4 linked regions of the Mus musculus genome follow. The protein of the gene in region 3 purifies or fractionates together with the protein of the main gene of each other region. This does not show direct contact. Links are inferred from orthologs where the notes say so. Each region holds a gene or a part of one and is shown on either strand. Other genes may lie near its edges. The genes, in order: Nck1, Git1, Pak1 and Git2.

The links.
Region 1: the proteins of Pak1 (region 3) and Nck1 purify together in Homo sapiens (affinity purification with western blotting; 8 studies listed by BioGRID and IntAct, with this or other methods). This does not show direct contact. The link is inferred for Mus musculus from reciprocal best matches to the Homo sapiens genes PAK1 and NCK1.
Region 2: the proteins of Pak1 (region 3) and Git1 purify together in Homo sapiens (affinity purification with mass spectrometry; 6 studies listed by BioGRID and IntAct, with this or other methods). This does not show direct contact. The link is inferred for Mus musculus from reciprocal best matches to the Homo sapiens genes PAK1 and GIT1.
Region 4: the proteins of Pak1 (region 3) and Git2 purify together in Homo sapiens (affinity purification with mass spectrometry; 5 studies listed by BioGRID and IntAct, with this or other methods). This does not show direct contact. The link is inferred for Mus musculus from reciprocal best matches to the Homo sapiens genes PAK1 and GIT2.

What each region holds. Positions count from the first base shown.
Region 1 is NC_000075.6:100,495,056-100,502,730, reverse strand, and holds part of Nck1 (cytoplasmic protein NCK1), read left to right. Parts: intron 1-4,760; coding exon 4,761-5,473; intron 5,474-7,059; coding exon 7,060-7,254; 3' UTR 7,255-7,675. UniProt on the Homo sapiens protein: Adapter protein which associates with tyrosine-phosphorylated growth factor receptors, such as KDR and PDGFRB, or their cellular substrates. Maintains low levels of EIF2S1 phosphorylation by promoting its dephosphorylation by PP1.
Region 2 is NC_000077.6:77,490,267-77,498,685, forward strand, and holds the start of Git1 (ARF GTPase-activating protein GIT1), read left to right. Parts: upstream 1-3,145; 5' UTR 3,146-3,316; coding exon 3,317-3,368; intron 3,369-8,419. UniProt on the Homo sapiens protein: GTPase-activating protein for ADP ribosylation factor family members, including ARF1.
Region 3 is NC_000073.6:97,883,045-97,890,719, forward strand, and holds part of Pak1 (serine/threonine-protein kinase PAK 1), read left to right. Parts: intron 1-427; coding exon 428-544; intron 545-1,708; coding exon of another isoform or gene 1,709-1,732; intron 1,733-3,253; coding exon 3,254-3,428; intron 3,429-5,912; coding exon 5,913-5,976; intron 5,977-7,675. UniProt on the Homo sapiens protein: Protein kinase involved in intracellular signaling pathways downstream of integrins and receptor-type kinases that plays an important role in cytoskeleton dynamics, in cell adhesion, migration, proliferation, apoptosis, mitosis, and in vesicle-mediated transport processes.
Region 4 is NC_000071.6:114,743,905-114,751,579, reverse strand, and holds part of Git2 (ARF GTPase-activating protein GIT2), read left to right. Parts: intron 1-1,945; coding exon 1,946-2,018; intron 2,019-2,239; coding exon 2,240-2,337; intron 2,338-3,284; coding exon 3,285-3,396; intron 3,397-6,008; coding exon 6,009-6,151; intron 6,152-7,675. UniProt on the Homo sapiens protein: GTPase-activating protein for ADP ribosylation factor family members, including ARF1.

The sequences.
Region 1 (7,675 bases), on a different chromosome or scaffold from region 3:
GTGGTAAACTAAAATGCTAGATCAAGATGTGCTATGAATGTAGTGGGGTTTTTGTTTGTTTGTTTTTAAAACAAACAGAATCTCACTATGTTGCCAAAGCTGTTTTGGATTCCTTGGTTCATTCAGTTTTCCTTAATAACTGAGACTATAGACCATGAGCTACCGTGTATCAGCTGTGACTCCCAGAATTTACAGGTTGAAACCTAACCATCAATGGAATGGTATTAAGATGTGGAGGAGCTTTAGGTAGTGACTAGCTTATTAAGGCAAAAACCTTCATGAATTAGATTAGTGCCATTGTGTAAAACATTTGCAAGCTTGCTTATTTATCTCTTACACCATGTGAGCACTGAACTCTAAGGAGTAAAAACCTCATTATTTAGTCTTTAGCTTGGACTTCCAGCTTCCAGAACTATGAGAAACAAATATTGGTTAACTGTAAGCTGTGTGACTTACGTATTATAATGAGCAGGCAGAACAAAGGAAGATAGGTGGAATTTTGGGGGAAAGTAATATTGATTCTGAAGCTGATCTAAAAGAAAGGATCTAATCCTTGGTAATTATCACGTAAATGGTTAGGTGACTTAATACTTTAAAAATTATTTTGTAAAATATTTTTGTATTAACCTTTGTTGATAGCAGATTGTAATGTCCATTTTCTGGTAATAGAAACAAAGTTGTAAAGCAGGAAAATACAACCTACTGTTACACATACATTTGTTTAGAAAAATGTATTATAGTTATTTATTGTGTGTGCACACCATGCACGTGCACATGAGCACTTGTTTGTTCATGTGCATACCGCAGCACAGATAAGTAGGTTAGAAAACAACTTATGGATGCTTGTTCCCCATTCCATCATGCCGGATCTCCATTCCATCATGCCGGATCTCCATTCCATCATGCCGGGTCCCCATTCCATCATGCCGGATCCCCATTCCATCATGCTGGATCTCCATTCCATCATGCCGGATCCCCATTCCATCATGCCGGGTCCCCATTCCATCATGCCGGATCCCCATTCCATCATGCCGGATCCCCATTCCATCATGCCGGATCTCCATTCCATCATGCCGGGTCTCCATTCCATCATGCCGGGTCTCCATTCCATCATGCCGGGTCAAACAGGGTCATTAGGATTGGTAGGAAGTACTTTTACTCACAGAGCCATTTGCCTCCGTTTGTTCTTTTTTCTGGTAAAGATTAATGGAACATTTAATATAGGCGAGGCACTGGGGATAGAGAGTGGGGAAAAGCAGGATGCTCGGCCTGTATTTAGCATTAAGGTGAAAATAAAAAAAAAAACTGTAATAGTAAAAGGAGAAACACATAGACTCTTTGGGGGAGAGGAAAGGAAATCTTCAGTGAGTAAATACATTATCTCTGCCAAGTTTTGAAGAATAGATGGGAGTGTTCTAGTGGTTATAAGAAATTTGTTCTGCCTGTGGTATGTTATAGTAGTAGTTGGAGAGGAGGAGGCATGTTGTTGAAGACATGTTCACAGAGATATGGAGAGCCTCTAGTGTATGGAAACTGTACCATGCCCTTAGATTTCTTCCTTTAAATATTTCTCATCTCTAGATTAATGCAGATTGTTTTTAATGTGTTCTCATTTGAGATATTAGTTGTTGAATTTTTCTAGAAATTCTTTATTTTCTGGTAATATGTAATCAGAATGCATATATAATTGGAATATCTATAACTAGTTATAGATATTTTCTTTAGGATTAAAAGTCATTTGGATTAAGAATTTAATTTTCAGTGAAAAGTTTAAAATATTTTATTTCACTGTACTATTTACGCTGTATGTCCGCTCCATATACAGTTTTCGATGGTGTAGTGCATGCAAAAGATTAGTAAACCATGAACACTCCTCACTGAAAGATATGCCTTGTATTTGATTTAAAAACAAAATAAAACAAAAAACTCAGTACAAAAAAAAAAAAAAAAAACCCAAACTATTATACAGTTATTTGTGAAGTACAAGATCCGGGACGTTTTAACAAGAAGTGCTTAAATGTCCTTGGGTGGGAGGGTAGGTTGGTTTGAATCTAGGTATACTATCAGTGATGAAGAGGGACTTTCTTCCTTTATGCCTCCCCATCTTAATTCCTCTATTACTGCTTCCTTTGTGTTTCATTTCTTACAATGTGCTGTTTTCTTAATCTGTTTCCTTTTGTAGTTTTTAGGTTTTCCTTGGAAACTACCCTGGAAATTACAATTAGCATTTTGTTTTTAACAAGTTTAAGTCATTCCCAATGTGGTTTGGATGGTATAAATAACTGTTCCTTATATCATTATATATTATCTCTTTATACACTGCCTACTTACTTAGGCTGAAAATATGATTTATGTATTTTTAAATCATATAGGAACAAAGGAAAAAAGTTGGGCTAGTACTGACTTTATATTTACCATTGTTGTTTATTTCTTCTCTGTTTTTAAAATTTATGAGCTTTTAATTACATTTCCACATTCACTTTCTTCCCTCCAACACTTCCCAAGCACCCTTGCTCTGCACCCTCCTTGAAATACACGGTCTCTTTTTCTTTAATTGTTGGTGGTGTTGGTATGTGTGTGTGTTCTTAAATATTTAATACAATCTGCTCATTCTGTATAGTGTTACTCCTATGTATGTTTGCAGGGCTGACAATTTGGCATTGGAGAATTAACCAGTGTGCTCTTCTTGGGGAAGGTGTCTGCTCTCAGCATTCCTTAGTTGCCTGTATGTTGTTCTTTGGCTAGGGTCGAGGCTTCTTGCACTTTAGTTCACATTAGCTTGTCTCTGTTGGTGGTATTCTTTTTTCTTGCTTTGTATGACTTCATTTTTTTTCTTCTGTCTGATGTCTTTTTTATTTCCATCTAGAAGACTATTTTTTACATTTCCTTAAAAAGCACAAGTTTATTGGTGATGAGTTAAGAATGTCTTAAGTTCTTTATCTTTGAGGAATTGTTTGATTATTTTTTGTAAAGTCTTTATTCTTATTCATATGGCTAATGAAATCTGTTTCATAGCTAGTATTTTGACATTGTTTTCTTAAACATACAGAACCAAAAGAAAATGGGGAATGGAAATCTCCATTTTTATAGTTTGGCTGTATGCTTGTATACTCTTTTAATATTTGGCCAAGCCATTTACAATTCTGTCTTGGACTTTACCTACTAAGTTGTAGGTCAGCAGAGATAAAGATCAAGGTGGGTTTTTTCTCTAGACTTTTCCATAGCATCCGTCCAGCCCTGATCACATTTGTGATCATGTTGGTTCCTGAGAACATACAGGAGCTTTTAAGTACCTCATTTCCCCATGTGTTACCTTTCTTACTATCTTCCTTTTCCAGCTTTTTGATTTTTCTTCATTGTCCCAATCCACCTAGGAAGACAACCTAGCTCTGGAATCAGAGGTCCGAGGTCTGTTAGGTAGCTATCCTCAGAGTAACTGCACTGGGGGAGGGAGACCAGTAGGAAGGCCTCTTTCCTGCTTCAGCATCTTAACAGAAGCAGCGCTTTCTTCACTGAGCCTTGCCCTGCCACTTCGCTTTCTTCACCAGATTCCATGATTTACAAAATTGATACTGACAGTGCTTGCCATCTCATTAACTGATCTTTAGAGGAAGTCCTGAAATTTCTACTCTGCCATTTTTAGTGATGTCACCCTGCTGTAAAGATTTCTCATAATGATGACCTCATTAGCCAGAAGTAAGGAAATTAAGGACACAGTTGATTTAAAGGTATAGAAGGATATTTTTTTTAAAGGAGGGATCATTTTTATTTGGACATGAATACAGGTTTGAGGTGTTGGTTACATCTAACAGTGTCTGTTGATAGAACTCTTAGTGTTAAGATTCCAGATAGAGCAAGGGTTTAAATCTTCAAGTAAATCTGAAAAAATCTATAGAAGTTAAAAGGAAAGTATATGGGGTTTTTTTGTTTTTTTGTTTTTTGTTTTTTAATGTAGAGAAGGCCAACTATGCCATCTTGGAAAAATATTTTCAACTAAGGACTTACTAGTTCATTCATCAATTACTTTCTCCTGCTCACTAATATATAAACTATAGGCACTGAAGATAAAGGGGGAAATTCTAGTTTTCTGTCCCTAGGAAGCTGACTCTTCTATTAGGAAGCAGACAAGTAATAGAGTATAAGACATTGTTACAGCAAGGCTCACAGGGGACCAGAGAAACACAGGAGTGAGCAAATGTCACGGTAAGAGGGGCAGCATGAAAACATGGAGAGCTTGCCTGTGATCTTATTTTTCATATGAAAAGATGAAAAGGCCAAAGAGGCTAATAATTGTGTGTTACATATATAACACATTATATGATCTGGCTTTGGAAACTAAGAAATTAGTAAATGAGATTACCCAGATATAATTTTATATGTACACAGGTACTAATTTAAATAGTTGTTTCATTTTTATACAGCTCGTTACAAAATCTTGGTCAATAAACTAAAATGTCCAAGTGTGGGATTATTAGAGTGTCTGTCTTCTTAGTTGTAGCTATGAAAGAAGTAAACCATTTTAACACGAGAAAATTCAACATGGCAACTTTATTATTATGCAGTTATTTCTTGGCTTTAGCAGGAGAAAAGAAGATAAACTTAATAGTTTATTTGGCTTGGTTATGGAAGAACAACTTGTATTTCATTTCCCAAAAGATGATCCATCATGTCATAGTCTGTTTGCTACATTTAGAGGCTTGGGTAAGGTAAGTGAATCAAGTTGAAGCTATAGTCTTATGGCCTCCTCTTTATTTAAACAGGTATTGGAAAAGTGAAAAGAAAACCCAGTGTTCCAGATACTGCATCTCCTGCTGATGATAGCTTTGTTGATCCAGGAGAACGTCTCTATGACCTTAACATGCCTGCTTTTGTGAAATTTAACTACATGGCTGAGAGAGAGGATGAGTTGTCATTGATAAAAGGGACCAAGGTGATCGTCATGGAGAAATGCAGTGATGGATGGTGGCGTGGCAGCTACAACGGACAAATTGGATGGTTTCCTTCAAACTATGTAACTGAAGAAGGTGACAGTCCTTTGGGTGATCATGTAGGTTCTCTGTCAGAGAAATTAGCAGCAGTTGTCAATAACCTAAATACGGGTCAAGTATTGCATGTTGTACAGGCTCTTTACCCGTTTAGCTCATCCAATGATGAAGAACTCAATTTTGAGAAAGGCGATGTAATGGATGTTATTGAAAAGCCGGAAAATGACCCAGAGTGGTGGAAATGCAGGAAAATCAATGGCATGGTTGGCCTGGTGCCAAAAAACTACGTTACCATTATGCAAAACAATCCATTAACCTCAGGTTTGGAACCATCTCCTCCACAATGTGATTACATTAGGCCTTCACTCACTGGGAAGTTTGCTGGCAATCCTTGGTATTATGGCAAAGTCACCAGGCACCAGGCAGAAATGGCATTAAATGAAAGAGGGCATGAAGGAGACTTCCTCATTCGTGACAGTGAATCTTCGGTAAGTTGATTTTCAAAGGAAATGAAAATAGAGCTCCATGCATTAATAAATAAGGTTGGAAAGGTTGAGTGGCTGGCTTCCTTAAGCCAAACTGAGGTGTGATCATATTGTTCTTTCCAGCGTGCCTGTTTTGAGTAAGATATTGAGTACTGAATATGCTGTATTAAGAGACTTTCTTCAGTTGTATTAAATTTGCATATCTGGAATATTTCTGTCCCATTAAACTTAAAAATGGGGCAGGCTGAGCATTGGTTTCTTCCTGGAGAGTAGGATGATGCAAATTAACTGCTACTAGAGATAAGAAAGCCGTCACTGTAGTTCTTGCAGGAAATCTCTTAAATATAAAAATTGTTTCTTTATAAATTAGTTGTTTGATTAAAATCTCCCTCTTTTTTTTTTTTTTTTAAATGAGAGAATGACTCATTGTATAACTCGGTCTGCCCTGAAACTCACTGTGTAGGTAGACCAGGGTGCCTTGAACGTATAGATTTACTATATCTGACTTAAATTATTCACCTCAACCTGCTTAACACCATTTAAAATATATTTGCAATAAAAGGTAAATTATGTTGCAGTACCAGCTAGACAGTAAAGCCATACAAATTGAAAAATGACATCATTAATAATCTCTTAAAAGTGTTCCTTTGAATGTTAAAATTTGACAGTTGTTTTTTAAAAATTCTTTTTCCTGATAAATCACTGCTTTTCTGTTTATCAGATCATGGTTAGTACTGGTTTTTTGTAAATACATTGTACAGAAGGTTGAATGAGATACAGTGGTGTGTGTATGAGACTGAGATAATTGAACCTCCTGATGAAAATTGGGAGAAATCTGGCCTTTAGCCTCTCAGGAGTCAGAGGGTTGCTAACAGACAAGATAATGGGAGTCCATTTTCTTATTAAAATCCTGATATGCAGAGCATACCATTTAAAAGTCACTATTCGTGACTTGACATTATTCAGAAATATTAGGTTTAAAATGACACCTGCAGCTGCCACCACCTAATTAAGAAAAAAGCCGGGCGGTGGTGGCGCACGCCTTTAATCCCAGCGCTTAGGGGGCAGAGGCAGGCGGATTTCTGAGTTCGAGGCCAGCCTGATATACAGAGTGAGTTCCAGGACAGCCAGGGCTGTACAGAGAAACCCTGTCTTGGGGATGGGGGGGAAATTTAGTTGAATTTTTATTTGTCCATTATTTTTGAAAATACAGAGTATTATATAAGTCAGTTACTGTTCACTCTGAACTGATAGGAGATGGAGTGAAAGTCTGAAATTTCTGATGTTTTCTCTTGGGCTTCTGAAAACTACTTTTTGTGTTCACTACTTTGTGGGTACTGTAGATAACTGTTAGGAGACACTAGCACCCTATTACCAGGTAATGGATCCTAGGCATGCTCTCTGAGCCTTATTTTTCTCATTTATATAAAAAGGGTTTATTTTGAGGAATAAAGAAGAGTATGTAAATAATTTAGTATAGTGTCTTGTACTTATTAGTAAATGTTCAGATTTCAGCAGTTATTTTTTATCTTACCTTCTGATACATGGCTTTCAAAATGCTTACTTCCCCCTCCCCCTTTCTCTTTTAGCCAAATGATTTCTCAGTATCACTAAAAGCACAAGGGAAAAACAAGCATTTTAAAGTCCAGCTGAAAGAGACTGTTTACTGCATTGGGCAGCGGAAATTCAGCACCATGGAGGAACTTGTAGAACATTACAAAAAGGCACCGATCTTTACAAGTGAGCAAGGAGAAAAATTATATCTCGTCAAGCATTTGTCTTGATAGTGCTCGTCAGCAGTGACTGTTCCACAGCTTTAACTGGTCATGTAACTGGAGACTGAGAAAGTGCTGGGCCAATTGTACTTGCTTGGAAAGTGCTGTTTCTAACTATATGAGAATTGACTATAATACATGAGTATTTTTGTTATAACTCAGCCCATACGTATATACTACATATGCAGTGCATCTCTATAGAAGAGTTCTTTATTCTTGGTCTTACTGTTTTCTTTGCTGTTTTTCTCTTTCCTTCCAACAATGAAGGTTTTGTATTCTGAAACGAATAATTTGGTTCAAAATCTTTATATGGAAGAATTCTTTTATTGCTGTTTCTTTATTTCCTTGTAAAGATATCCTGTTCTCCCATAGTTCCTCTTCACATAAAATTATATCTATATGGCATATGATAAAGGACATTCTTGTAAAG
Region 2 (8,419 bases), on a different chromosome or scaffold from region 3:
AAGGAAATGGGGGAGGCTTTTAGGGCTGACCTGAAGCGTTGGGTCGGGGGTCTATGGCCTGCAGAAGTGAGCTTGGGTCCCAGGGAGGGTAAAGAGGCATCTAGATTCATAGTGACTAAAGAGTGACCCTAAGAGAGATGCAGGGCATCAGTACCAAGGGTCACTGAAGCAGCCAGGGGTCTGAGAATCGAAATATTTCTCAAATCTTTGCTCTCTCAGAAAATTAAACCCCAGCTTCCACACATCACGTTGGAAAAGAGAATGTCTAATGAGGCGAAGAAGACAGTCTTTCCCCTACATGGCTCAGCAAGAACCAGGATGAGGTTGAGCAAAGACAGCAGCAGGTGGCATTTCCCCACCTCCATCCCATGTGGGTCCCTGCCTAAGGAAAATGACTGAGTCCAGATTGCCTGCTTCCTGAAAGAGCAGAGAGACAAGCGCTTCCACAAGGAGCCCTTGCAGAGAGTGTGGTCAAAGTCAAATTGGCCTCTGTGGCGGCCACCTGCAAATGGTAAAAGGACCAAGATGCCTTGGGAGAGAAAATGTCAAGAGAGTTGTATTTAAATACCGTAACAATTGCTTGATCTTAAACAAATTGCTTATCCTTCAGAGTTTCTCGGCCCACTCACCTCTAAACTGGGATCAGATACTACCTCATGGGATGAGCTAAGGGTATGAACTGCCTGAAAACGGCCCCTCTCTCCTTCAACCAGCCTGAGACAGGTGGTAGGAGCGAACATGTTGCCTTCCTCGAGCCCACCTCAAGGCAGAAATAAGGAATTCCTGGCCAACCCGATTTAGAACAACAATCTAGAGAGTGTTTGTGTGGGAAGCGACAGCAAAAGCTTGCAAACTCCTTGCGCCCTTCTTGGGTTTCTTTGTGTGTTCTTCTCTCCTGCTTCCTGCACACCCAGTGGTGCCAGGCCCGGGAGGACTGAGTAGACTGCCTCGCCCCTTTCTGCAGCCTGGGAGGAGCCGGTAGGCGTCTCTGCAGCCCAGAGCCGCAGCCCACCTCCACCGCCAGGGGTCAGCAGAGTGTCGTGATTGCAGCCCGAGTTGAGGAGGGGGCTAGAGAAAGGAGGGGCAACTAGGAGAGGCCGCGAGAATGCCTGTACAATTCCTCATTAAATCGTTTTCAAAACCTTGTGTATGATTCCATTTGAGCTGTTCAGTTCCTGGGATGATGACATCTTCGGGGAAGCCAGAAACCCTTCTTCCCCCATCTTCAAGCTCTAAAGCTTGGCTGTGGTGAGGTTGGGGGTTCTGCAACAAAGTTTGGACTGTGTGAGCCAGGGTCCCTCCCAGGCAGTCCCTGAGCCAATAGGGAGATAGGGTGGCCGGGGTGGGGGGACGTGAATCATTCTTCCTCTGCACGCCCTGTATTCCAAGAAAGGAGAGAGGCCAGCATGCATTTAGAGGCTAGGTTGCCCTTTTGCCAGATGGCCGGCTATCACACGAAGCCCAGGTCGCTTTCCCTTTGGTCTCAACGCCCTGGCTGCCACGTGCTCCAGACGCGCCCACACAGCGAAGAAACAAAGGCAGCCAAGCGACGGGGCTGCCAGCAGCTGCCTCGACATTTAATAAATGAAATTCCATAGCTGGGGGTCGATCCGGGGTGAACGGGCGGCCACTGCTCCTGGGCTGCGCGCCCAGTTTCAGCTGCTAGACTGCTTCCCACCTCCATTGCTGCGGCCACCAAGCCTACAGACTCTTGGGTATGAGTGCAGCATGGTGTGGCATGACCACCACCCTTTGCTGGCAGAAGCCCCACCTGCTGAGCTACTGGTTGGGGGTGGGGGGTGTCTGCAAGATTTTTTTTTAAGGTGAGATTATAAATATATCCTGTGGATCACAATTTCAAACAAACTTGTCAATCTGGGTTGCAGCAAAAGGCGATGGAACTTTGCGTGTATTTTGGGTGGTGTGACTCATAAGCATTACTTGTCTCCCCCTAGGGAAGGAGCCTGCCCACCCACAAGTCACTGCTGCTCTGGCATTGCTGGGAGAAATAGACCCACTCAGACACCCCTAACCAAGGACTCCCCTCAAACCTCCGTTTTATTACTGAGCAGGAATCCCTAACACCCAGGAATCTCCCTTAACTCTGCCACCGCTGACCTGCCCCTTCCCCTACGAGCGCGCCGCCGCCCCTCACCCCCCCCCCCCCAACCTGGTGTTGTGTGCTTTTGCCCTCTCCATAAGCTGAGTTCTCTGACAGCCCTTTTGCGGCTGTAGGGGTGGGGGCTGGGCACAAACGGGTCACACGTGTATGGGGGAGCATGCTCAGTGTGGGGTGCACCCACGTGCAACATGCACTTTAGTTCCTTGCTCCCCCCACCCCCGTCTCCATGAGAAGTCCAAGAAAAAAAAAATCCTTACAAAAATTGGCTCCTGTTATAAGCATATGCTTAGGATACATACACACCCGTCGGGCAGCCCGGAAACATCGTTGATGTACACGAAACAGATAGCAAGTTATTACTGGTGCACACAACACTCTTAATAATCACCCAGATTCTTTGCTTTCCTATTTGAAACAAGAATGATGTATTTTTAGTCCCACAGAGAGGGAGTCACAGTTAAGTGACCTCTCGGGCACCTGGCCGTCCATATTGGTGGTAGTGAGTGTACACCGCAGGGATATGGCCACAGACCCACCTGGACACACTGACTTGGACACAGGGGACCAGAACACACACCTCACCCCAACCCAGCCTCTGACCGCTAGGAGCATTGTGCCTGGGAATGCTTCCTGTCCACCCCGATCCCCACCACGTCCGTCTCTCGGTTTTTGGGCCGAGCGTCCCCTGGACCACTCCCCAATCGGAAAGTGAAGGTCAAAGTGCTAGCGTGTGTCTCGGTTGCAGACCAGGCGGGCGCGGGCCGCGGCTCCTTTAAGAACCCCCGTCCACTCCCGCCTGCGCGCAGGCTTCCTTTCTCCGAGAGGCTCAGCCACGGAGCTGAGCGGAGCGCCGGGGCGGGGTGCGGGCCGCCCCTCCCCCGGTGGGCAGGGCTTTCACTGCTTCCTGCAGGAGCGGCCTGGGCCGCGCAGGGGGCGGGGAGAGCGGCGAGCGGCGGCGGGGCGGCGCGGGGCGGCGCGGGGCGGCGCGGGGCGGAGGGCGCCCGAGGGCGAGCGGGCGGGCGGGCACGGCGGGTTCCGGGCCAGCCCCGGGGGCGGACGGTTGGCCGCGCGCGCGGAGCCTCGCCGGGGCCTTGCGGGAGCCGGGCCGGGCCGCAGGGCCGCCGCCGCCGCCCGGGCCCGCCGCCCGCGCCCCCCACGCTGGCCCAGAGGGCTGCGGCCGCGTCGCCGCTGAGGATGTCCCGGAAGGGGCCGCGAGCGGAGGTGTGTGCGGACTGCAGCGCTCCGGGTAAGCGGCGGGATCGGGTCGGGGGCGGGACCGCGCCGCAGGCCGCCGCCGGGCGGGCGCCGAGGCCTGGCGGGAGCGCTGTGCCGGGCCGGAGGGCGGGGCGGGGGCCACTGCGGAGCGGCGTCCTTGGCGGGAGGGCCGGCTGCGGGGGGCGCTGTGCGTTGGAGCCGGTGAACGGGAGGGAACCGCCTCCCACCTCCATCGCGGCATCCAGACGGAAGCGCCAGCCTGGTGTGGCAGGAGGGCTGTGGCGGAGGCCGGCAGGCTGTGGGAGGTGGGCGCTAGGATGGTTTGTGTCATCCCTGCCACCCCCGCGTCTTGCACCTGCTGCTCACATGGCCCGCGTGCCCGCCGGAGCGGTGGAGGGCAAGGGGCCTGGATACGAGCTCCTAGGGAGCACCTGACAGGGGCAGCTACTCTTAAGACTCCCCGCCCCTGCTTCCCAAGGCTGGGGCTGCTTAGAGGGCCCGGTGTTCAGGAACAATCTAAGCATGGGCATCTTCCCCGGAAGCATCTCCAGGCCTGCTGGTGTCTGGGAACATCTAGACTCAGCTTTTCCTGTTCCGGGTAGGCCTGTTGGAGAAGGTGTGCTAGGTATTGGTTCAGTCTAGACGCCGATCCCTCCTGGTCTCTAGCTCATTGGATAGGAGAAAGCGGTGAGGTTGCTTATGCTCCCCTGGTCCAGCTGACTCCTGAGCGAACTGGACTTACACACTGCTTCCTCCCTACTAACCAGCAGAGTGAGTCGGTCTGAGCTGCTGTGAAAGCCCCCTTGGCTTGCTGAGGAAGTGAAGGGAGGGCAACAACTCACCAGGCTGGTCCCTTCTCTGGGAGGACACAGCCGTTGATGGGACTCAGCAGCTGGCTGGAGGCAGGAAGTTCTGGCCTTTGCCCATCCTCTATAAAAGAAGCTGTGTCTCCATACAGTCTCGGGGTCTTATGGACTCTGGGTAATGAAGATGTGATTAGGTGAGAGTGTGGAGTGCTGATATGCAGGCCCATAACTTGTAGTCACCCCTTAAAATCCCAAGATCTGACCGTGAGCCCAAGGAATGATGGTCCTGTAATTCTCATGATCTAAACTGGAGTACTGGGAGTTGTGGGTAGTTGCAGAGTCATGAACATGGGACACCTTGTAGGTGACTGACCCTGAGACCTCCTTAGGATATGTCACGGTTTGGAGGGTCCTAGAAGATCCGTTTACAGATGGACATCCATACCCCTAGTTAGCTGGAAATGACGACTCCCTTTCCCCGGTTGGCCTTGAATGGATGAGCGGTGTGTCTGTGGAGCCTAGCAGGCCCCATCAGGGGAGCCAGGGTCAGGTAGTAGCTTTGTTTCCAGCTTATTCTATGATGCTTTGCTCACTCTGGGTCTCAGGTGGAACAGAAATGGATTTTGAGGACCCTTGCATTTCCCAGTCTACATTCTTGGTTCTGGAGCAGATAGAGTCTGTGACTGGCTGGCTGCAGCCTCTGGACACCCAGTCGGTGCTGGGAGGAACAGGGTGTGTTAGATGTTAGGCCACTGAGCTCATAGCCCCCATCCTCATGTGACAGAGGCAGGCCTGCCTCAGGATTCTTTTCTTTTCCTCTCTCTGATGCAGAATGCAAATTACTAAGCAGATGGGCAGAGCGTTGACAGTCTTCCTCATTATCCCACCTTAGCACCTAGTGTGTAGTGTAGTGATTGCCACGTGGCAGCCATTCCCCAGGTACAAGTGTTGGTCTTTGTCAGGAGTGCCCTGTGCCACACTGGGTCTGACAGACAATGGCATCCTTGATCTAGGCCTATAGCATCCCAGACAAGAGAGCATAAGCATGCCTGACCTTCTCATATCCCATGCATATGATAAAATATAGTCCATATATATCCCATTATAGCCCAGAGTCACAGAGTCACTGTGATAGAACTCTGTTATTGTCTGGGTATGGTAGGTAGCACATGCCTTTAAACCCAGCACTTGAGAGACAGAGAGGCAGGCAGATCCCCAGGCCAGCCAGGGCTATGGAGTGAGATCATGGAGTGGGGTCATGGTGGTTTTGTAGTTTATTAACTTGGAGTGTGATAGAGGTAGGAGGTGAGCCTGTGCTCAGAGACAGGTGTGACTATGTTGCAAGGACACAATGTGGCTGCTGTGGCAGCTTGTGTCACCTTACCAGGTGCTGTGCCCCTGCCTGCCTTGGGAATCCAGGAGAGGGCAGGAGTCAGGGTGCACAATCACAGGGTGATTGTCCCCTTACTTTGCCTCTGCCTACTCTTCCTCATTGCCTTGGTCCCAAGAACTCTGGCCTGGCTAACAAACGTTCACTTCCCAACCCACCACCTTTACATCGGGCCTTACATTCTGATAGGCTGGAGGAAAGATCTTCAGATACCCAGGCCGTAAGTCACCAGAGCTGGGGAATATGTTGCAGGGCAATGTACAGACTCATTTGCCTTCTTACAAGAACAAATATGGTAGTGGTCTTTTGTTTGAGGGGGGGTGTGCAGTTTAAGACAAGGTCTCTTCTATATGGTCCTAGCTGTAGAAACTCACTCTGTAGACCAGACTGGCCTTGAACTCTGACTCACCTGCCTCTGCCTCCTGAGTTCTGGGATTAAAGGTATGCACCAGCACTGCCCAGCTGGCTGTATAGCCAGGTGAGTGTTTGTCCTGTAGTCTGTCTTTCTGTCTTTTTTTTTTTTTTTTTTTTTTTTTGTGACAGGATCTTACTATATAGACCAAGCTGGAGATTCACCTGCCTCTGCCTCCTGAGTGCTGTGACTAAAGGCATGCCCTACCATGCGTGGCTATCCTGTGGGTTTCAGGCATATGTAAGCCTATGTGGCCACCACTCTGCCCAGTGAATATAACATTTCCATAGCTCTCTACAGCTCCCACCTCTGACCACACCCCCAATGGAAACCTCCTTCCCCTTGGATTCCTCTTGCCTGCTTTTAGCACAGTTTTCTTTTCTCGCCTCTTCCAAGGGCTTGACCCTTAGCTTAGAGGGGGAGAGGCCTGAGCCTGGGCTTTCTGTCCAGGCCTTCTGGCCCTTTGCTGGCCTAGTAGCTTTTGGTGGTGGCATGAGTTTTCTTTTTTTTTTTTTTTTTTAATTTATTTATTCATTACATGTAAGTACACTGCTGTAGCTGTCTTCAGACACACCAGAAGAGGGCGTCAGATCTCGTTACAGATGGTTGTGAGCCACCATGTGGTTGCTGGGATTTGAACTCTGGACCTTCGGAAGAGCAGTCGGGTGCTCTTACCCACTGAGCCATCTCACCAGCCCCGGCATGAGTTTTCTTTAGAGACCTTCCTATGGTTGGCACCAGTTATCTTATCCTGATGTCCCTTCTGATAACCTGGTCACACTAGCCCTCACCTGCCTGTGGAGCAGCTAGAGGAAGACACTGCCTTCCCCAGGCCTCATGTTCCCTACCCTCCTGCCCAGTTTGCAAGGAGCTTCTTAGAAACCCTTCCTGGCCCTTCCGTTTCAGATCTGGTGGAGGTGGGGTTTGCAGCTCCGTTGGCTAGCCAAGGTCATTTGGACCTAGAGTACAGGTAGAATTGTTAGACACAGACTTCCTATCTGTGTCATCCAGAACTGAGCTGGCACCAGTGTGACTAAGATCAGCAGTGTCCCCTGCCCTCCCTTCCTGTTGGAGGTCACAGCAGGGGAAAGGAGGACCCTTCTCAAGCAGGGAGAAGGTGCCAGGAAGGCTTTAGAGCTTGAGGCTCTGGGACCACTGGCCCAGAATGTCAAGCTGGTTCCTGTAGGCCTGGCTTCTCCACAGGGCCACAGGCCTCGGGTGGAGGCCTCAGGACTGGCCGCTTCTGATCCCGGCCTGGGCGTCTCCCCACTCACAGGAAACCCTACCTCTTCAACAAGAGGAATTTAGGCTGCATCATTTCCCGCTTCCTGCCTGGGCTGCAGGAGGTGACTGGCAGGCAGACCCCCTGACCCAGTGGTGTTTGGGAGTGGGGGAAGGGAGTTTTCCATGCCCTAGGGGGGCGTGGTTCTCATTGTTTGGGTAAAACCAACACAAAAGTACTCTAGGGCTCCCCCTCTTGGCAGAGGTGGCTGATCTCTTCCCCAGTTCTTAAAAGTCATCTCCTGGGAAGGTGTGTGGTGGTCACTGTACATCCCTCCTTGCCTTGTTTTGTGAGATTCCAAAAGAAGCCCGAATCCAAAGACAGCTTTCACTTCCCATTTCCACACTGTACTGGGGGACACCCCCAACATGGGCAGCAGTTCAGCCCTGACTCAGTCTGCTCATGATTCTGGGAACTCTGATGGTGACGTTGGCTCCAAGGGCCCAAGAATTGTCTTATGGATGGGAGAGATTACTCTAGCCCCTGAGAGCCTCCACTGCTGAGCATCCTGAGTTCTAATAAGGCGAGGCAGAGAGCCAGCCCCATCCCCCAGAACAAGGCTTCCTGAGCCTGGGTGGGGGCCTGGGCAGAGCAGAGTGTCCTGGAAGAGCGACTCCCTGCCCCCACTCTGGACAGCACACAATGGCCGCTTTCTCCCCCATGACCTTTCCTTTCTGTAGCCTGAGCCCTGTGCAGTTGTCTCCTCCCCTTTCCAGAGGGACTTGGTGTGGTGGCATCTCTCCTACCCTGAGGACCCAGGAGCTCCATCCATGAGCCCCCATTCCTGTTTCCCAAGTTCATTTCACCCCAAGGACTAGAGAGTGGCTCCCCAGACTCATCCTGAGGCTGTGGGAGCAGAGGGCAGCAAGTTTAGGCTTGGCCTGGTCTCTGGCAGTGAGGTGTCTGGCTCTGCATTCCAGCAGCACTCCTTATTAGCTGTGTGACCTTGAGCAAGCCCTTTGACCTCTCTGAGCTGTTTAATCCTCATCTGTAGAGCAAGATAGCACTTCCTGTAAGGAATCATGGGCTGAATACTTGGCTGTAAACGCTGAGTACTCAGACAAGGTTAGTCCCGTTGTCCTGAAGGCCACAAACCCACATTGACTGTGGCCTGAGGCTGGAGCAGGCTGTCAGATGGGGTCTAACAGGAGCATATCCAGGACTGTGTGATGTGTGGCATCGGGGTTCCTGC
Region 3 (7,675 bases):
TAGACTTTAAGTTACTATATTAAGAACAAATAATCACAGTGATAAAGTATAGAAAATTAAATACTTTTTATTTTCCTCTTTACACTTATTTTCTGCTCTTTATAAAGAGTAAAATTCACAGAATAAGGAGAACCTGAACATGGCTTTGAGTATTTGATTGTATAAGGCAGGTAAGGAAACTATAAGCTGGCTTACTACTCTTTAGTCTTTAGATGGGAAAAGGAAGCTTTCAGAGTGAATAGATAGTGATGGCTAAGAGAGAAGGAAGCTGTCTGAGTGAGACAGCTGACTGCACAAAGATGGAGAGCCTTGGTTGATGACCTTTCAGAAGAGGTGTCAGAATTGACTACCTTCTAAAGAACTAGCAGACCTGGGATCTGGAGTTCTATGTCCACTGGACCGGTTGATTTTTGTCCTTTCTGCATAGAATGTGAAGACTGTGTCTGAGACCCCAGCAGTACCACCAGTGTCAGAAGATGAAGATGATGATGACGATGCTACCCCACCTCCAGTGATTGCTCCACGCCCAGAACACACAAAATCTGTGAGTCTCTGGGGATCTTGAAGGCTATACGATTTATTCACATAAGGGGTGGCAGAAGCTAGGGAGGTAGTGGTACTAAGACTGGTGCATAGGGGTCCATAGACTGGCACTGGTGAAGTCATTGAACTACTTTTTTTCCCCCTCTCATGTGAATGGTCTTGATTCATAGTGATCCTTCTGCCTCACTCTCCCAAGTGCTAAGATTACAGGCATGCACTACTGTGCCCAGCTGGACCACTTTCTACATGACTAAAGAGATGTGGTGTGCTTGTTATTTCAGTTATTCCTAAAGTTCTCTAGGTAATTGGTGTTTATATCAGTCTAACCTTGGTTTACCTACCCTTTTCTTTACTGGTTAGGTATATAGAATGGTGCATTTCACTTTCAGAATAAAATAAATTATTCCAGTTTCTTAGGAAGCAGTAAATTGCCAGAGATTTTATTCTTTTGTTTTATATTATGTAGTGGTCAGCCTCTCCAGCATTTTTGATAATCCTGAAAGACCTGGGAGAGTTTATAAATACATTAGTGCTATTAATATGCTGGACATTAGGAATGCATTTTGATGCCAGATATTGGTAGTGATTTCTCTTTTAACTTCCTTTGAGGTTCCTGCATTTTAGAATAGCCACACTCCCTCCTTCTGCACTTTGCCCACTCTGCAACTTTGCCTTTTGATTTAGCATCATTGAATAGTGATCTCCCATCTGATGATACTCTGAAATACTACTAATGTTTGTTTTGGCTGTTTAGTATGAGAACTCCATAATGAAAGAATCCTCTGAGACTTAAGCTCTGTGTTGATTAAATGTCTTAATGGAAGGTGCTGTGGAGGAAATTCAGTTAGATGGCCTACCTCTTAGCCTAAGAACTTACAAATAGAATCTGGATTTCCTTGTCTGTAAGTCACAAAGTTACCTTAAGGAAAGTAGCCTTCTAAATCAGTGAGCTGTCAATATCTCCCTAGAGTGTCCTGTTTGTGGTTTGCAGGCATATTTATTTAACAGTTTCTCTCTAAATCTTGAACTCCTCTAAATAGAAAAGAAATCTATTTACCTATCAGTCTATCCATCCTTCTATCTATCTATCTATCTATCTATCTATCTATCTATCTATCTATCTCGTATTTAATCTATGTGTTATTTATCTTTTTTGGTAATATAGTTTGGGCAGAAGGATCAGAGAGAGGTCAGTAAATATTGAATAATATATTGATTAATTTGCTTTTCTTAGCATTCTTCTCTAAAATAAATACTGCTAAGTCCTATTTTATAGAAGAAGCAAATGAGATTTGAGTCAGTAGATTGATCTATCCATAGTTACTTAGTAAACAAACTCCAGGGTTTGAGAGCAGATAATTAAATCCAAGTCCATATTGCATTCCAAAGTAGTGCACATATTATATATATTGTTGTGTGTGTAGGCATGCACTGGGAACCAGGTAAGGAGAATGGTATAGAGGGAACAGACAGAATATCTTTCCTCAAGGCAATATGATGGAAAAGCAAAGAAAGTTTAAGTAATTGGGATATAATTGTTCTACAGGTATAAGAATAAAAATTGAGAAATTTACTTTGCTAGAGTAGTCAGAAAGCCAGTCCAGTTGAAAGATCTGATATGTACATTTGTTAATTCATTCTATTTAAACACTTATCTGAATGCTTGCTTTTTATTGGGTTAGAGTTAGAGGACTCAGGGAGGAATAATATGTGTTCTTTGTCTCAGTATACCCTATAGATGATCAAAAAATAATTATGACTTTTTTAATGATAAAAAAATCTGATAAATACACATCTTCTAGAAAAGGAAGTGCAGCCTGGAAGTACTTGCTTCTTAACCTTAGTAGTATATAGTTGCTCCTTTCTTAGTAACATCTCTCCTTTGCTTTTGTAGCAGTTACTTTCTCACTTCCTTCTTCAGAATGAGTAGGGCAGTGTTTTGAATAGAGCTAGGCTTACCAGGGATTCTCAGTAAATATTTGTTAAACAAACAAATAAATAGGAAATACAATGTCTTTAAAAGCTGAGGTTTGAATGCTTAATATCTGCTGTTCATGGCCATGTCATTCACACATGTTGATTTATTATTAAATAAGGTGGTTATTGTCACTGTTTTATAGACAGGGAAACTGAAGCACAGAGGTGCGAAGTAAACTGACTGAAGTAATTCAGATAGTAATGTTGGCTGAGAATTAAGCCCAGGTCATCAAGTTCCCAAGTTTGTTTTAAATTTTAAAACAAAATTATTATATTACTATATCCTCCTGTCTCTTGATGAATAAAAGTAGTTCATGGTAAGCGCTAAACAGCTCAAGAGGGATAACTCCATAAAAGTGTTAAGTTTTGCAAAGTGACAGAGGATACAAATGAGTTTCAGCTCAGAAAAAAAGCAGAGTATTGTGGGTGAGAAAGGTTTCCATCTAATGATAAAATCTCCAAGTTTTTACTGAGAGTCACCTAGTGGCTTTGAAGTGATTTCAGTGCTAAGGCCATCACTAACCCTTCTTGTAAAGTGAGAGTAAACGAAGGTTGTTTTACCCAGGGCAAATGGGCTGGGGCTCAGAAGAGGAACAGTGCAGATTTTGGCCTTGAAGAGAAGGGATGAGTGGTGAAGGGGAGGTTCCTGGGATGTTCTAACTAGAACATTTACAAGAGGTTCCACTATGCTAACAAAGGTTGGCTTGGCTAAAATTTCCCACTGATTATGCAGGTATATACACGATCTGTGATTGAACCACTTCCTGTTACTCCAACTCGGGATGTGGCTACATCTCCTATTTCTCCTACTGAGAATAACACCACTCCGCCAGATGCTTTGACCCGGAACACGGAAAAACAGAAGAAGAAGCCTAAAATGTCTGATGAGGAGATCTTAGAGAAATTACGTAAGGACTTTATATCTTTCTTGAGTCTTCCCTTAGTCTGTGCCTGATTAATCATTGAGATGGAGTGCTACAATAAAGATCTGAATGCTCCTGGGCTGGAGAGGTGGCTCAGCGGTTAAGAGCACTGACTGCTCTTCCAAAGGTCCCAAGTTCAATTCCCAGCAACCACATGGTGCCTCACAACCATCTATAATGGGATCTGATGCCCTCTTCTGGTGTGTCTGAAGACTGCAACAGTGTACCCACATAAAATACATAAATAAATCTTTAAAAAAAAAATCTAGATCCTAGGTTTAAGCCATGTGCCTGGCTGGCTCTGTTTAATACCTGAACTATGGGCTGTACTGCTTACTCATCATCTGACCTTTCACCCCTTCATTGTTTCACCAGCTCTGGGTGTGCATTACCTTAGGGTAGAGACATAATAAGAGAGAATGTGGGCAGCTCACTTTGAGGGTTATGGGCATAGCTAAAGGCTTTTATTTTGAGAGTAGTCTAGAGTATTGTATGGAGAAAGATTGAGGTATTGACTGTGTCTGGTGGAAAAGGGTGCTCTTGTTGATGCTTTCTAACCCTGACCTAGGAGAAGACAGCTCTGCCTGCCATCATGGTTGTAGAAAAAGACGGGAAGGGAGACCAATGTTTTATCATCCTGTTCTGTGTGACAAATGACAAGCAAGATAGTTTCTTGAATTTTTAAATTTTATTGTAGTTGCTCTCTGAAGATACTCAGGTAATCCTCATTTATGCAGTTAAGGTTTTTTTTTTAGACCCAAAGAATCTATATCCTGGTCCAGATCATAGAGCTGCAAAGTGGCACAGCTAAGGTTAGATCAAGATGTGTTTTGTAAAAAGAACATATTGCCTATTGCAGTAGGTATAGGTTGATTTTTTTATTTTCATTTTTCTTTGAGACAGGGTTTCTCTGTGTAGCCCTGGCTGTCCTGGAACTCACTCTGTAAACTAGGCTGGCCTCGAACTCAGAAATCCACCTGCCTCTGCCTCCCAAGTGCTGGGATTAAAGGTGTGCGCCACCACTGCCCAGCCTAGGTCGATTTTTATTTTCTATTTTATTTTATTTTATTTTATTTTATTTTATTTATGTATTTATGTATTTATGTATGTATGTATGTATGTATGTATGTATGTATGTATTTATTTATTGGCTTAGGAGACCATTGAAAAAGGATTTGATGTGACTGGCTTGATTAAGTTTGTATGCTCACATTGCTTTCTAAAGCTGAGGTTTGTGGTTCTTTAGTTTAGTGGTTTCCTATTTCTTGCTAATAATTCTTGTTTAACTTTTTTGTTTGTTTGTTTGTTTAATTTATTGTCTTTAAGAATTGTTTTTGTAGCCAGGCGTGGTGGCTCATGCCTTTAATCCCAGCACTCAGGAGGCAGAGGCAGGCGGATTTCTGAGTTCGAGGCCAGCCTGGCCTACAAAGTGAGTTCCAGGATAGCCAGAGCTATATACAGAAACCCTATCTCAAAAAAAACAAAAAAACAAAAACAAAAACAAAAAAACAAAAAGGAATTGTTTTTGCTAGGGCCCTCATATGAGGAAGTAAACCACTCTTAGGCATCTGTGTAATCACATGCACTCCTGTCCTCTAAACCAAATTTTTTCCCTAAATAGTAATACAATGCATTGTAAGAATATTCTGGCCTGGACAATTTCCTCTGTTCTTTGAGTCTCCTTTCCTCTTCATACCTTTTAAATAGTGATATTTACATTTGATTTGTTTTAAATTAAAGGATATAATAACATACGTGAGAAGTACCAAATCCTAGTGGTTGGGGTATCAGTGGAAAAGCTAGTAGGGCTGAGAGATTTAGAACTGGACTCTGGCACCAGTTGATAGATGAGTTTGGAGAAGTATCTTTCTTCTGTGGGTTTTAGTTCCCCGCCTCTAGAATACTGCTGTGAGACCTGTGGCCTCTCATGCTTCTCTGTTTTTTATTTAAAGTATCCCCTGCTTAAGAGCTCTCTTGGCTGACTTGTACTTACAATAAAAGTCAGCTCAGACAGTGCCTTTCTGAAGCCTTTCCGGTCTCTTCCCTATCCCGTCAGCACTCACTACAGCAATCACTGTATTTTTATAGCACCTTCCGTTTGCTTGTCTTTTCCATAGATTCAGCCTCTTGAGAGTAGTGACTGTCTTAATGTGCCTCATCTTTCTCTTTATCTGTAGCACTCAGCATATAGTCTGGTATGTAATAAATGAATAAATGTTAACGAATTAATTTAAAAATGATTAGCTCTTAGAAGTTTAGAAGTGGAATAAATTACTATTAAAAAGAACACAGTCAAGGATATAATACTTTTGGTTGGGATTTATTGGGGAAAAGTTAATTGCCTGGCTGGTATGCTTTTGGGGAACTGGACACAAAAATTTATCAACTTAGGGAGTTAAGAGGATCATGGGATCTTGTGTGTATCTTGAGCTGGAACAAAATGATTCATGGTCTCTGTTTCTTTCAAAGGGAGCATAGTGAGTGTGGGTGATCCTAAGAAGAAGTACACACGGTTCGAGAAGATTGGACAAGGGTTAGTAGCGGCATTCTGTTTCTTTGGAGAAATGTCTTAAAGTTGTATTTACTGACATGTATGAACTTGCTTGGTTTTGGTGGTGGTAGTTTTTGCCTCACCTATCTGGAAGTTTGATACTAGGATGACTTCCAAATTTTGCAGAATTATGCCTTATATGAGAAATGTACGATTACCTGGCCTTACTAAAGTACTCCTGCAGCAAGAGTAAACGAGTCACCTATTGTCTTAGCATAAAACCAGTTTTTCAAACTATAATTAGTTTTCTATATTAATCCTATCTGCCCAAGTATTGAGACCTATCATCACTAGTATGAAATTTAAGGTCCAGATCTATAGAGTGTGTAGTAGTGAGAAGGGATCTAATTTTCTAGCTTGGTGACAGATTTTGTGACTGTTACTCTTTAGTTTCATCTCCATAATGCATATGCTGTCTCGCACGATTGAACTCAGCAAATCTTAACTGAGTTCTTGTTGTGTGTTGAAGTGTGAATATGGATATGAATCAGACACAGTCTGCCCTCAAGGATCTCACATCAGCAGGAGATAGAAAGGCATATAAAGAATTATAGAAGTCAGCTTTTGTCTGGAAGGAGGAGGTCAGATGGGACAAAGAAAAGGGGAATAGAGAAATCGTGCAAGGAGCTTAGTGGTGAACATGAGTTGTATACAAATATTAAAATCAAACTGTAGGCTTATGATTTAATGCAAAATTTTAGGTAAGTTATACCTCTATATGAAAAGTAAAAATAATGAGATTTCTATGGAAATATGTCAAAAGACATGAAATGTCAAAGAAACTAAAAAAATTAAGTTTGGCTCATAATAGGTTCTAATTGGAACAAAGTGGTCTTTTTTGTTTGTTTGTTTGTTTTTTATTTATTGGAAAAGCATTTTTTTAATTAGGTATTTTCTTCATTTACATTTCCAGTGCTATCCCAAAAGTCCCCCATCCCCCCCCCCCACCCACCCACCCACTCCCACTTCTTGGCCCTGGCTTTCCCTTGTACTGAGGCATATAAAGTTTGCAAGTCCAATGGGCCTCTCTTTCCACTGATGGCCGACTAGGCCATCTTCTGATACATATGCAGCTAGAGTCAAGAGCTCCAGGGGTTACTGGTTAGTTCATATTGTTGTTCCACCTATAGGGTTGCAGATCCCTTTAGCTCCTTGGGTACTTTCTCTAGCTCCTCCATTGGGGGCCCTGTGATCCATTTAATAGCTGACTGTGAGCATCCACTTCTGTGTTTGCTAGGCCCTGGCATAGTCTCATAAGAGATAGCTATATCAGGGTCCTTTCAGCAAAATCTTTCTAGTGTATGCAATGGTGTCAGCGTTTGGAGGCTGATTATAGGATGGATTCCCGGATATGACAGTCTCTAGAGATGGTCCATCCTTTTGTCTCAGTTCCAAACTTTGTCTCTGTAACTCCTTCCATGGGTGTTTGGAACAAAGTGTTCTTATTAATTCAAACTTTTTGTCTTGATTTTCATAAGCTACCAGAAGTTTCTAAAAATGCATTAAAGGATTGTAATATATGGGTGTGGGGTGTTACATTTGCACATCATTTTATAGTTTATATCTGTTATTTACATCGAGCTTTTTATTTGATCTTTTTAGCAACTTTTGGCTGAAGAGATGTCATTTTCCCTGATCCATGTGGTTTTCCTACTAGATAATACTTTTGTGAGTCTAAACT
Region 4 (7,675 bases), on a different chromosome or scaffold from region 3:
ATTGTTGGAGCAGCTCTGTGAATCAGCTCTCTTGAGGGCAAAAGCCACTGCCTTGGAGCCCTGCTTCAGGACGTGTGCCTGCATGTTTGCCTTGTCTGGTTCTGGCTCCTCTTAGACTTAGAACTTGGTGCTTCCATGTGTGAGCAAAGCCCGGTTTCCTGCCCTGTGGTTTCCCTCCTTCCCTTTCACAGAGATTTTTAGAGCCTCATACGATATCACTATCACATAAAGTGGACTTATCCTTCCTAGTACTTAATTATACTGTGAAATAAATGTTTTATGCAATTTGTTTGGTGTCTCTGTGTTCTGTATCTATAGTTGTGTGTTTGAGTGTATTATGCCTTTCTTAAGGAAGCCACCTAGTAGATAAATAAGATGTCACGCTTTCGAGGCAGCGCAAGAGTGTGTGCTTTCCTTGTCCTTACTGTAGTTTGTAAGCAAACTTGTACCTGGCATCAGACTCCTCCTTGCTCTGTCTGTTGGCTGGGCTGGATACCACATGAAGCCTGAGGTTATGGGGTGGGCATTAAATACATACCTTGGGTATAGTTTCCTATGCCCTTAAGACCTTGGGCTGTCTGTGTGTCAGGCTTGCCCAGCTCACGGCAGCCCCCAAAGCACAGCCTTCCAAGAGGAGCGCTGGGAAGGGGACACTGTCGGGCATCCCTGTTGGGCATCCCGGCCCTCCTCCGGGTAGGTGTTGCTCTTAGCAGCGCAGGGCAGCACTCAAACCCCCACTCCACCCTTTTCCATCCTTCTCTTTCTTCCTCCTTCCCTTCCTGAGTCTGTCTCATACTCTCTCCTTCCTCCCTAGTGAAAAACTGAGAGAAATATAACAGAAAAAAAAAAAAAAACAATGTATTCTTGGGTTATGAAAATGTCTGTTCCTCGATGTCCTTGTCTGTAAAGTAAGACAGTAGTGAACTCTGTCCTGTCCTCGCTGCTGGCTTTGGATGGTGTCCTTAGCACTGTGTCTAAGATGCCACTGGCCCTGAGCAGTTCTGCCATGTGGCCACGAGTGACAACAAAACAGCTTTCAATCCAAACCCCTGCAGGGTCCTCAGTGAGCGCCTTCTGTGGGGTTTATTTTGAATGATCAGTTAATCCGAGGGCACTAGGGAACTTAAAGAAAGATGGGACCATCCTCAGTCACCTCGCTCTCTGCCAGCGCATGCTCAGCGCTTGGCATATCCCCTCAGCCTTTATTTCCTACGCATACCATTTTTTTCTTTCTCGAAACTGTAGTAGCAGAATTTCATACTCTGCTTTTTTACACGGGGCACGAGGCAGTCAGTAAAGACACAGGATGCAAAGCAATAAAGAGGCCATAGTCCTCGAGTTGCAGGATGACAGAGGAGCCAGACCCCAAGGCTGGGGCTTCAGCCTGCCTCCGTGGGGAGACCTGGATAGTCCTCCAGTTCCTGGCTGCTGTATGAAAGTTTGGTCTGTGGGGCTGTGCTATGAACTGCACCCCAAGCGGCACTGGGGTGGGGTGGCGGCCACGCTGTGCTTTGCTTGATAGGAAGCCTCTCTGCGACGCGTGTTGTTACACAGTGGCACCCTTCCCCACCCCAGCAGTGCAGCCATCCAATCCATAGCCTTGCACAACCTGGGCAGACATCCTGACGCTGAGCCCCGTCGCCATCCCCTTCCTGTTGTAGAGCAGACATAAGTTCTCCGGACAGCAGACTTCTGGGGTGCTGGCTGACACAGGGAGCAGGGGGGACTTGTGTATGAGAGGGTTTGTAACAAGTTACTCTTGCCTTCTTTGTGACAGTAGCCTGTGTGTCAAAGAGCAGGGCCTGAGAAATGCTGTTCTAGAGCTGGCTTTGAGTAGGAACACCCCCACCCCCACCCCACCCGCCCGGAGATGAAGGGTGAGGCCGGCACAGGCATGCTCCCATGTTAACTGCTGTCCCTGTGTCCCTGATGTGTTTATTTTCAGCTGAGTAATCATTTGTTTGAAGAACTTGCCATGGATGTGTACGACGAAGTTGACAGGCGAGAGACTGACGCAGGTGACGTAGCATGCGGCCTACCTACTCCCGGTGGGCGGCGGCCAGCTGCTGGCCTGGGTTTCTTCTTGTCCAGATGCCCCTGTCCTCATAGCCCATGTGCAGAGACGTGCTTTCGCGCGCGTTGGCTTCCAAGTGGGCTTCCCCGGGTCTCCCGCCCGGTGCATGAGCCGTGCCACCGCGGGGGTGCTGAGATTCTCTCTCGGCTCCTTTCTTCCGGCTAGTCTGGCTTGCCACGCAGAACCACAGTACCTTGGTAACCGAGACGACCGTCGTCCCTTTCCTTCCGGTCAACCCTGAGTACTCCTCCACACGAAACCAGGCAAGTGGCTCTGTATGAAGAGTTACTAATAGTATTATTTGGGGAGTGACTGATGGCATGATATTTGGTGTCCTTGTGGACATACACGGAAACAGACGGTGTGAGAATTGGTAAGAGAAGTACAAACGACACACAAACGTGAGGAGAAAGGATAAAAGATCGTAAAGGAGACTCCAAGTTGTCGGGGAGCATGGGGGTCCCATGCCACTGCCTAGCTTGTGGGTGGCTTGTTGGCTTCTGGTGGGGTCCTGTTGCTCAGGAAGCTGGAACAGGGGGACCTCAAGCTGGCAGCTAGCCTGGGCTACATACCAGGGCCATGACAGAGATGGTGGAGAGAACGAAATGGGGTAATTTGTTTTCCAGTTGATCCAAAGCCTCAGATGTACAAAGGAGTCCTCAGTTAAGGCTATTTCCAATAAAATCAAAGCAGACACATACATGTGGTTTCCACCCTTGTGCTGTCTATAACCACAGAACACTGAAGGGAGCCTCAGCCTCTGACAGGAGGGAGAGAAGGAGGAGAGGGGTTGGTGCTGAATAATGGCTGACTGTAAGAGCAGACCCACTTTATCCCTAAAGTCAGAGATGTCCCTCCAGATTCACTTCTCACGCACTGCAAATTAAATCACTGGTACTAGAAGTTTTCTATTCTGGTAGCTCTGAAGATCAAAGTCAGGGCCTGATCCTTGCTTGTCAATTGTCCCAGCAGTGAGCTATACAGCCAGAACCATTTTATAATTCATTACAGTAATCTCTGCTGTAGAAATGGAGATGTTAAGTCCTCTGCCACAGGAAATATTAGTGTTGACTAGAGAGTGATGGTGGCTGAGATTCCATGATTGAGCTGGGAGACCCTTGCGTCAGCTGCAGTCCTGGGCACTCGTTGTCGCCCTTCGCGCTTACATTCTTACACTGGGTAATATTTCCCATTCTCTTCTCTCCCTTAGGGCAGACAGAAATTAGCTCGGTTTAACGCCCACGAGTTTGCTACGCTGGTCATCGACATCCTCAGTGATGCCAAGAGGAGACAACAGGGCAGTCCTCTGTCCAGGTCAAAAGGCAAGTGTCCAGCCCAGCCCCAGCCGAGAGCACCTGGGCCTTCTGGGATGCACTGTGGAGTCCCGAGCTGGAGGTGATGGGGCAGTCATAAGAACAGCCATCCTGAGAGTCTCCTCACTAATAGACTATGACAGAGAAGTACCTGTTGGAACCCTGAAGAATAAGGCGTACCTCAAAGTTACTACGTATAATTCACATTTATTTTATATGTATTTTTTCATAATCACTTATTTTCCCCAAAAATTGGCATGTTGAAATTAACCCAAAAGCCTAACTCTTAAATTTATTAAGGACATAAAGTGAGGCGATGGAGACTCTTGATGGCAGCTGTCACTTAACTCAGAACCCCTGCCTCTGAATAAGTACTGTTTACTGCTATAATTTTAAATGTCTGTAGCGAGAAGCCTTGGGATGTCCGCTGAGCATCTATTTCAGAATGGCTCTTACAGGCCCTATCTCCAGACGTAGGGCCCGCTTCCTCCTAGCCAGCCCTTAAGTTTGTTCTTGTTTTTTTTATAGATACAGGAACTATGCCTTTTTATTTTGAGGTACTTGAACAAGATGTTTGTACCATAAAAATTAAGGTTCCTGTCAATATCACACTCCCCTAAGGCAGGAATTATTAAGTAACAGTAATTTATGTTTCTTCTTGATTGTTGAGGAATTTGGTCCTATCAATCCAGCCAGCAGTAAAGATGCTCTGAGAAGTGGCATTAAATTGGTGAGGTTGCAGTCTGGAGAGGTTTTGTATAAACTTGAAACCTCAAAATATGCCCACTCTAAAAGAGAAATAATGAGAGATTCCATATTGTGTATAATGTCAAAAACATTAGAAACAACTAAATAATAAATTCTAGAGAAACAGTCACATGATTAATGTACAGACATCTCCTGGAAATACTTCATGGTGTGGAGTAAAACAATACAGTCTTTAAAGGTTTGCTATAGTCTCTGTTTTGTAAGGTGTGTGTATTAATATAAGTAACTGTACAGGGAAAGGTGCCTTCCCCAGATGAATATGCACATGTGGTTGCTCCTCGACAGCAGATTTGATGCTTGTCTGGATGTCTGGCTGAGGCTGAGGCTGGTACCCTCCTGCAGGTTTCAGTTTCATACCCTGTCACTGGCCTCGCGTAGACTGCTCAGTGCCATGTTTGCCTGTGTTCTCATACTTTTTGTTGGTGATTTCACTGCTCTAACAAAGGCTCTGAGCACAATGGGAAGATGTTGAACAGTGTGCCTGCATGCAAGAGGGCTAAGGAGAGGTTCGTGGGAAGCTGTGTGTGCACAGTGAGCATCTTCCTGGTGTGAATGGAGTGGCCTCAGACTGTGGTCATGAATCCACGGTATGTGTCACACAGGGTGTCCTTAAACAGAAGCGTGTGTGGACTGGCTCATGATAAGGCTGTGACTGGCGGCTCTCAGGAACTGTAGTCCTTTGTCTCAGTGAGTGACAAGCTTTTAGCCTGTATTCACTGAGGACAAGCCTGTATGTGTGCATATATGCTTAGAACAGTAACTAGAAGAAGCAGGCCAGCGTGTCTCAGCCTGGGTGATCGCCACTGTCCCTCACGAGTGGTTACAGCCTCTGTATTCAGTCTTTGTACCGTATCTCTGTATTGGCATGCTGGTGGGTTTTGTTTTGTTTGTTTTGGTTTTTGTTTTTTTTTTTTTAAGACAGGGTTTCTCTGTATATCTCTGGCTGTCCTGGAACTCACTCTGTAGATCAGGCTGGCCTTGAACTCAGAAATCCGCCTGCCTCTGTCTCCCAAGTGCTGGGATTAAAGGCGTGCGCCGCCACCACCCGGCCATGCTGGTGAATCTTAAAGATTCATTGTAAAAGTTAAAATAGGACCGCTATATCTTAAGAAATCAGAATTCACTGTCCAGATGAAGCTGTCTGTAAAACATCTTTGGAAATTGGAGCTTAACTTGAGTTGCCTCAAATAAACCAAAAATGTTTGGGGATTTCTGAACACTTATTCTAAATGTGCAAGAGTGTGTAAGTCACTGCTCCCCGTCTGTGGAATGGACACTACTGATAATGTAGACACGTGTGTGTCTACTTGGTCCAGTGTCCCCTTGTCTGTCTCACAGCCTGGATGTATATGAGTGACCACTGCTGTTCTTGTCTTTGCACCTGACTTCTAGGCTGGGTGTTTTCTCTCTTTTTTTTTTTTTTTTTTTTTGGATTTTTTGAGACAGGGTTTCTCTGTGTAGCTCTGGCCGTCCTGGAACTCACTGTGTAGACCAGGCTGGCCTTGAACTCAGAAATCCACCTGCCTCTGCCTCCTGAGTGCTGGGATTAAAGGCGTGCGCCACCACTGCCTGGCTCACCTTATGTTCTTATGGCTGAAGCAGTGCCCTGTGCATGCAAACCTGTGACTTCCCCCCTCAGTCTGGCAGCCACCCCAAGGGGTGTGGCTGAGCTCTGTGGTGAGTGGGAAGCATTGGAACTGCTCTGTGTGACTGTCCCTTAAGCCTCTGCGGGCGTTGCTCTTTCTGTCATTTTCTTCACCCTTTAATGGCTAAACCAGAAAGTCACCTTAGTAGTTTTTTAGAAGGAAAAATATATTTTAACTCTGAAGTAGTTTTTCTCCTTCTGTGAACAGACAATGTGGAGCTCATATTGAGAACAGTCAGTACCCAGCACAGCACTGAGAGCCAAGACAACGACCAGCCAGACTATGACAGTGTGGCCTCCGATGAAGACACAGACGTGGAGACGAGGGCAAGCAAGGCAAACCGGCAGAAGGTGAGAGGACACACCTCCCACAGGACAGACGTGCTCCTCCTAAAATGTGTTCTTGCCCTGGGGCTGTAGCTGAATGGTGGAGTGCTCGCCAGTATATACAGGGCCCTGAGTTTATTTCCCAGTGCCACCAGAAGACACATACACATGGCAGAAAAAGTAAAACTGGCAGAAGGGTTAGGCCTTGGAAGGTGCTGTGAGAGGGCTCAAGTTAGGCTCACTGCTAACTCAAGCCAAGCAAAGATTAAATAAATGCTCTTAAAATAAGGCCCTGTCACTGAGCAAGTGAAGGATCAGCGTTGACTCTAGGCTGAGGTCAGGACTGGAGGCTTCTCTGTGTCCCAGTGTGCTTAGCTCCTCCCCTCATGACCTCACTGATGGGGAAGCAGGGGACAGGAGACTATGCACTGCACAGGTGGTGCGCATCGCAAGAGCAGACAAGCTGGAGGTTAGGAGTTTGGAAGAGAGAGCATCAAGGGAGGAGCTCTTGACAGTACAGGGCTCTGAAACAAGGCCTCATAGATGTGCTGTCCTGCACCCGCGTAGAAGGCAGAACAAGAAAGCCTGGGCTGGAACAGCCTAGAAGAGCCCCACACTGTGCAGAGACTCTGGACAGCACAGTGAGGACCTCAGCTCTAAAGGGCATTGCAGCACGGCCTCAGGGCTCAGGCCAGTGGGGCCCAGGGAGAGAGACAGGGCACTGTTGAGTGAACAGGGGACAGGGCCAAGGGGTCTGCAGGCTGAACCCTCAGGACAGACTCAGATAGGCACTCCACAGACACTGAGTAACAAATAAACAAGAAGCTAGGCTGCCGAGGTCTGCAGGTTTGAAGCAGGGAGATAAGCTTAGATTTGTCCAGCATTTGCTGTTTGATATTGGCAGAAGGGACGCCCCTACCTGGACTGCCCCGTGCCAGTCCACTCAGTTACAGGCAGGGTCATTACCAGTCCCTCAGGGACGGACCATCCATTGATTGGCTGGGCTCCTGCTGCCCTTTCAGCCTCTCGCTGAGCACTGCTGCTGGACTCTCAGGAGCCCTGGCCTCCTCAGGCACGCCTTCCAGCTCCCCCAGCTCCTCCCCAGGCAGCCCAGCCAGCTGCTGCGTCCCACCCGCTCCATTGTCTGTGTCCCCAGCACTCAGTCCCTCTGTCCTGCCTTGGAACACCTTAGCCATCCCCTTTCCTGTGCTGCTGGAGTGTGAGCGCCATGGATGTAGCAGCCTGTCCTCTCTGTCACAGCGCACTGGAGACTGACTGATGCTCACTAGGTCATGTGGAGCGAGTGAATCCATAGAGTAAGCTCTTTAAGTTAGCAAGGACAGTGTGTGCAGGGCAGCGCAGAGCCTTGGCAGCCAGTGTCCACAGAGGTTTGCAGCGCTCTGCCTGCTCCTGCAGGAAGCTCTGCAGAGTGTCATGAGTCCTGGAGTGCCCCTGCCTTTCATATGGTCCACCTTTGCAGTCCAGCGGGCGTGGTGGAGATGGACATTCTTTAGCTGTTAGTCTTTAACATCATCATCGCGGATTGTG